2 linked regions of the Schizosaccharomyces pombe genome follow. The gene in region 2 interacts genetically with the main gene of each other region. Each region holds a gene or a part of one and is shown on either strand. Other genes may lie near its edges.

Region 1 (3,757 bases), on a different chromosome or scaffold from region 2:
CTTCAGAAATTTCCCTTTCAATCGCTAACTTTTTCCATCCTTGTAGCCTTTCATTGCATTCAATTTCATATTTCATTTTACGATCTCATTCCTCAATATATTTTTTTCAAGTGCTTCTCTTTTGTTTTCGTCAATTTCTAACAATGTAGAATCTACAGATCTCTCGTATCTTTCAATGAAAATTTTTAAATCTTCCGCAGAATCATTTGGTGGTGGCAGATTGTAGTCATTATCAAAATTCTCGTTCGACATCATCCTTATTATTTATACAAAACCAGTTGCAATAAACCGCAGTATTCTTTTTAACGATAAAATTTCAATTCACTATAACTATACAAATGATATCTTTTGTAGCCTGCCTTATATGTTTACTAATTGACAAATATTTCTCAGAAAGGGAAATCTTGGAAAATAAAAGTACAAACGTGTGTTGAAAGCAATATTTAATATATGTGTTGTAAGTAAATTCAAATCTCTCAAGTTCCCCTTATATACAACTTTAAACAAAGAATGCTAAGGACAAAGAAAAGAGTTTTTGATGGATTAAGAAACAAGGTAACCTAAGTAACTTCACACTGGGAGTACGTGATACAGATAATGAAAATGGGCTTTATCTGTAAAATAAAAGAAAAATGGCTTATTTGCAGGTAACTTATTACAAAGTTAGATTTATTGAATAGAGGAGTATTTGTTTAAAAACAAACTTCGATTGCAAACATGCATAACAAAGTTAATAGAAAAACATTTCTTTATCCTGCTTTATTGTATTCCTCTTAAGGGATTCTCAACAGCTCTAAATAATCACGAAATATTTAAAGAAAAGGTATATTACTCATTCAAGCTATTAATTGTAAATAATATAACCCATAGCTACAACAAATGCGTTAAGAGGATATAATGTTAGCTACGCAAGTATTTAATTTAACGATACGTAGAACTACGGTGTTTTCCTAGTGATCTATTATATTGTAATTCGCAAGTAATATATAAGTAGCAATTGAGATTGGTATTCTAATATATGGGTTATATTGTTGAATAGATGAATGAGCAAATACAAGACTTGAAAAGTCCTTCAATGATATATTTCTGGTATAGAGTGTTGGCGAAACGACATGAATTCTGAGTTTGACGCTACGCAGAATGAGATTGCATCCATTAAGTTGAAATAACTACTATGAAAGGTGAAATGACTATCATTGGCAGAAAATGAACATTAGTTTTATACGTTGACATTCTTACGGCACTTTTTATTTACAATTTTGCTTACTACTAGTCATCCCGTTTTAACTTTGTTCTTAGGAGTTAATTTATTTTACTTTATTCATTTATTTTTTTATTTTTTTTGAAACTCGTATTATCGTTCAATTTCAGAACATCTTTACTGCTTTGCCTGCCCGGTTGACAAATAAATACGATTTCAAACGAACAATTAGTTTATTATATAATTTTTTACGTAAGTATATGCCATAGTTTATAGTAATACAAGGGAAGCAAAAACAAAGTCTCAATGCGGTGAGTAGTATATAGTAATTCCTGCTTCAGACAAGTCATTAAAACACACATTTGCACTCCGTACACATTTCTCAACACGCCGAATAGTTTCTTTTCATAATCCCCAACATATAACATCACAAGATTTCGTCTAGCATTCTTACCAAAACTCGTACTGTAAATGTTACAGTGAGTGATAGCCGTTAGCTAAGATGACCTGCTGAGACTAAACAAAATCATGAGAAAACGAATAATGTATTTTATATACCTAATATTTAAGAGGGAATCTTGGAGAAAACTGGGTAGTTTGAGAATAATAAATGTTCTTTTCCATCTTTACAAATGAGACGAAGATTTTTGCTCTACCCAAACTAATTAATCTGTTGTTTCAAAATCATTTTAAGTATAGGCTATAATGTAAAACATTGATATTATACAAGAAGTATTTATTACTTATGCTTATGATTTCGTTTGCGATGCTAACAGCAGTGTGTCGTAAGAAACTCACCATCAGCATAAAACAAGATGGCTTTGACTCCAGACACTGTTTCTTCAAAGTTGGCTACTCTAAATGAAACACAAGAAAGTATAACGGGAATAGCGCATTGGGTTATGTTTCACAAGCGTTATGCTGATGAAATTGTCCAAATATGGCTGGAAGCTTTGTATGAATGTATGACTCCTTTAGGAATTTGTTCGATTGTCTAACTAATTTAACCAGCTTCTTCCAACAAAAAGCTTTTATTGCTTTACCTGCTCAACGAAGTCGTTCAACAATCCCGGGTCAAAAAAATATCTGAATATATTGATGCCGTTTCTCCAGTAAGTTACTATCATTATGAGCTTGGAACATCTCCTATATGGTTTAGATTCTAATAATATTTGCATAGTATGTCGTAAACTCTGTAGCTGACGCGTACGCGTCAGTTCCTGCTTCCATTAAAACAAAAATCAAATACGTTTTTGACGTTTGGTGTCAACGCGGCATATTTTCTAAGGAGATACTTTTATCCTTGCAGGAAAGGTTTAATAATGCCGAGAACAGTGGCCATTCTAACTATTACCCCGTTGGCCCTCCGGAATGGGTATGCCGCAATTCAAATAAAATATCAGAACTTTACTAATTGCATAGGCACCTTACACTCGTTTAATGACACAAACTAGTTTATACGCAAAATCTGCTCACTCTACCAAAACTGTGGTAGATGCATTGTATAAATCATACTTGGAGAAACAATCAGATTATTCTGAACTACTCGATAATTATAAAAAGCAACTAAATAAAGCCTCTGAATCATGTAAAGGTAATTATCAGGCTTGCATCGAATCCCGATCCACACTCATTACTTCCTTGGAATCGCTTATAGAAGAACAAAAAAAGCTACTTTCAGAGGAAGAAGAGAGCCTAAAATCTGTTGAATCCATAATTTCTAATTTAGAGAATAAGGAAAGTACAACAGCTACCTCTACCTTGACCGATGCAGGTTTTGGAGATAAAAGTTCTACTGCTGGCAAACATAATGTAGAAACAACATCACCTCCGTCTAGTTCTCCAAACAGTGATGATGCTTATTCTCCTCAAGTAGATTCTTACTCTCCAAGCATTAACAGCGTACCATATACTTCCAATATTGTCGAAAATCCATCTGAAGACAATCTCTCTCCTCTTCCTCCTCCTGCCAGTGGACCCTATTCCCAAGAAGAAGAAGAAACATCATTATTTAAAAGCCAGAGAAAAGAAGAAAATGAAGAGGAATCTAAAGAATTACCAGAAGACTCAGATATCTATGGAAAAGATAGTTCTCCCTCTTCGGACGACTCTAGTGCAGCTGGTCTATATGGTGATAGCTGAAATCCATGAAATGTAATGCTTAGTTTTCATTATTTTTCTTTTTTTTTTTAAACTGTCAATCAATGTGGCAGTCTTAGTCAATAAGCATTTTTAGAATACCTATCCTAACCTTTTATATGCGTCAGTACCTGACTTCATCCTATCGAAGCCGTTTTTGGAATTTTGTATATTTCGAAGAAAGTTGAGCCCTATCTAGGAAGAATGGGCTTTTAATGTCTGAAAAAAAACATTCTTGCGAAGAAAAATCGCTGCAACTATATCCTCTTTCAAATAAAATTCGTCATGTAAATCCGAATATTTCAGCTCTTCCGTCTGAGACTGATATATCTGAATCATTGACGAACGATTTAACTAAACTAGAAATTTCTAACTATGCTCCATTTAATAGAGATTTAGAGACTTTTTCCGATTTAA
Region 2 (3,757 bases):
TGCCTGAATTTCCGTGGCAGCAATAGGCTCAATAATTGAGGAAGCTTCCCATGTGCAAAAATCATATAACAGCTGCTTCCATTTCACTAAGTATTCAACTGAGCCATCGGAGTTTAAGTGTTTGGCAACAATTCTGTCTACCTGCTTATATTCCTCGTAATTTTCACGCTTTCTCTCTTTTTCAATATCCATTGCTTCAATGTCTTCACGCGTAGTGGTCGGATCTTCTCGAATTTCTCGATCAAGAAGTATGACTTGCTTAATGTGATTGTCGACCTTTTTAGATCCTCTGATCATAGAAATGTTATTGTAAGGTTCCCATGTACAATGAAGATGAGAAAAATTAACCCATTTAATTAAAAACTCATAATCTTCAGAAGGTGTAGAGCCATCGTGTCCTTCAATAAGTCTATGATCTAAAACGACATCTATAGCTCGTGTATCTTCAGGTTCTTCAGAAACTTCAGTTGCGTACTCATACATCTCTTCTTCCTCTTCTTCTTCAAACGATTCAAAATACGCGTCTTCGTTATAGTTAACACCTTTACTATTTCTAGAAGAAAATCGAATTTCATCTTGAACGTAGGTGTTTGATTTTTTTTGCCGAGATCGCTTTTTGGGAGTTCCGCCATAAGAACTATCATCTGACTCACTTTCCTCAGAGGTGACAGATTCAGCTTCATCGTCTAAATCGCGAATTGTTCGATGACGAGAAAAAGATGAACCATTTCTAGTACCTTTACGATGCTTGGATGGGAACACATCTTCTTGATCATCAGTGTCTACATATCTTCCTGGATTACTACGAGTGCGACCCTATAATGATTAGCATCTAAGTAAGTTTCATAATGAATAAAATAATGTGAGACATACAGAACGTCGAAGACCGTAAAGCTCTGGGTCGAGCCATTCAGTAGATTGTAATTTGCGCTTGGAGGCTACGCCGCTATTCGAAGGGGATTCGGACATTTCCTGCTTAAGATTAGGGGTTTCAGTTTGAACGTGATCCAGCTGCTCAATAGCCTTAGATGATGACAAAGCAAGTGCTATAGCACTTGTACTCATATCAACTAAAACAGAAGTTAGAACCAATTTCGCAAATTTCTTATTGCAAAACTTTTCCGAAATTGAAATGCTGAATAATTGTGAAATATGTAATAGGCTTCCATCCAACTTCTAGTTAACTGAGAACTGCCAGATGCCACTTTAAATGTGAATATTTATAACTCTTGACTAACGACTATATTTAGACGAGATCCGAACAGATTTAAATAAAGAACACATATTAACTCCCGTATCTTTTCGATAGGAAGCACTATATCGTTCATTTTCGAAGAAAGAGCAATTTTGAATAAAAGGTCGAATGCCACCAAAAAGATTGTATCACAAGAGAAACAAGCAAAACATAATAAGAAAGAAGGTTTTTAAAAAAAGAGAGCTACATTCAGTGCATTGAACAATGTAGGTTTAACAAAAAAATGCGACACGTGGATCATTCACATATTCAGCGTCAAATTCGGAAAACGAACTGTGGCTGCAACAAAATTTAATAAAAATTTACTTACGCGTTATTAAATAGAACGCTTATAGCAGTATTTTGCTATTTTAATAGCAACTTGCTAGTTTTGTTACAAAAACAATTTTTGAGGTACTGGTGGTAGAGGTTCAAATAGCTACAGGCTGTATCCGCTACTAAAGGTAATCAAACTGTATGAATACAAAAAGCGAGTTGAGAGAACATTAAAATGCATGTGTATTAAACGCACTAACAATTAAATTTCTAACTTGAATACTAACGAATTTCACCTTCTTCACTAGATTCTGCATCATCAACAATATTTTTAACAGCCGGTTGTGTAGCGGTAACATGAGAGATTGAATTTTCCTGTACATCCTGCATCGTATTAATTTCATTCCTATTACTTTTTGACGCTAAGTCAGCAGAATATTCCAACCTTCCATCTTCGTATCCGCTATGTGGTCGGGCACTATTCGCTAAATAACTTTCATCTTTACCGACATCATAATAACCTCTTCTGTTTTGGTATTGCTTTTCCAATTCCCGTTTTTCTCGAAGCCGTCTTATATATTTGTCAAAAGCAGCCATCCTGTGTTCCTCGGAATGGAGCGCAGCAAATTCCGGTAGAATAGAAATTAAAGGTCTAATTTCATCGTAAGAAGCATCGGCAGAAATTGGAGGTTTAAGGTATTTAATGGCACTTCTGAGATTATCAATTTTCCTTCGAATGCGTCGTTCATCAGCACGCTTTTCCTCAGCTTTTTTGTGGATCGCTTTATCACGTAATCGATTAACAACTTCTTCAATAAGGTCTTCAGTTACTGCCTCACTTTCCTCTCGATCTTTAAGCTTTTCTGATAACCTTGCTATAATTTCAGGAATATTAGATGTGTCATCCACAGATATTTGCAATACTTCAAGACAGTCCAAAACCAAATTACGCTTTTCCCGATACATATTCTCCAAATCAACGATCGTATCCCAAAATAAATCTAATGGTGTAGAGCCAGATTGCCCTAGTAAGTTAAGATATCTTGGATCATCCTTGATTATGGGATATAATTCTTTCCACTTCGTGCGTAATGTAATCTTCTTTTGCACGCGTAAGTCTTGTAATAGCGCACGAAAGGCATCACGATTTTTCCTTTCTATACGATGCTTTTCTTTCTTCTGCTTTTGTTTGTCAAGAATATATTCGCGTTCCAAATGCTTAACATGATCTTCAAATGCTACAAGAGCATCTAATTTAGAAAGATATTTCATATTTGAATTCCTTGTATACCTTGGATCTTGATCAAATTTTGCTTGCGCAACGCTCCAGCGGGTGTAAGGCTCGAAATTCATGTTTCGCAAAAGCGAACAAAAATCATCCAATGCTTCCTTTCTGCGATCCTTTTCCAACTGCTTTTCATCCTCTAAAAGCTTTTGCTTATATTCAAAAAATAGTTGTTGTTGTTCAGTTTCAGAAGAAGTAGCGTTAAAAGCAGGATGAGAAGAAAATTCATTCTTCACAGTACGCCACAAAGTATAAGAATGAATTTTATCACTACTTTTTAGCATCTCAATAAACTCCTTCCTAATCTTAGTTACTCGGTTCTTTTCTGCATCACTTTGATCGGTCAAATAGTTTAAGATGTACGCATCGAAAGCACATTTCCGATGCCAAGGATCCTTCATGACATAATAGCCCTTAGCATCACAAAGCTCTCGGACAGTCTGCTCCCAAGTCCAGCTTGGGTTGACATTATGAGAGTCTAAAAATTTAAAGAAAGCGCGCTCTGCGGCTTCATAGGTATCATAGTTTTCGTGCTGATAATCATTAGAACGTTTTTGGCGCTTATCCTTTTGTTGAACAAAGTTTATAGTTCGTTTATGACTGCCTTGTGAAATTTGTTGGCTTTGATCTTTAGCTGGTTGACTTGAAGGAGCAGCAACATCCGGACCATGCCGTTGAATGCTTTGAACAGCTGGCTTGTTGTCATTGCTTTTGATTTTAGACGACAAAGCCTTTTTTTGCTGTTCCGGTTCATCAACAAGGGCAGCTTTATATTCATCAGGAATATCCCACACTGATTCACGGGTATTGACATTATACCAATACTTTTTGCCATCAGCGGTGGCATATTCTTTCCAAGCTAGTTTCGAAAGCTTTTTTTCAAAGTCATTCATTAACTCCTCTGGTTTTTCCCAAACACTTTTGCGCGTTACTGAGTTGTAGTAATAAACTCGAGAATCTTC

The links. Genes that interact genetically often act in the same process or in processes that back each other up.
Region 1: mutations in hrp3 (region 2) and rhn1 together harm fitness more than expected from each alone (negative genetic interaction), as found in Schizosaccharomyces pombe (2 studies listed by BioGRID).

What each region holds. Positions count from the first base shown.
Region 1 is NC_003423.3:1,033,522-1,037,278, forward strand, and holds rhn1 (RNA polymerase II transcription termination factor), read left to right. Parts: upstream 1-2,000; 5' UTR 2,001-2,016; coding exon 2,017-2,164; exon of another isoform or gene 2,165-2,212; coding exon 2,213-2,313; exon of another isoform or gene 2,314-2,381; coding exon 2,382-2,576; intron 2,577-2,623; coding exon 2,624-3,343; downstream 3,344-3,757. Other genes in the region: serine/threonine protein kinase Ppk27, read left to right, coding at 3,556-3,757.
Region 2 is NC_003424.3:5,375,735-5,379,491, reverse strand, and holds the start of hrp3 (CHD family chromatin remodeller Hrp3), read right to left. Parts: upstream 1,669-3,757; 5' UTR 1,566-1,668; exon of another isoform or gene 1,077-1,565; intron 1,071-1,076; 5' UTR 1,066-1,070; coding exon 874-1,065; intron 817-873; coding exon 1-816. Other genes in the region: U1 snRNP-associated protein Prp40, read right to left, coding at 1,793-3,757.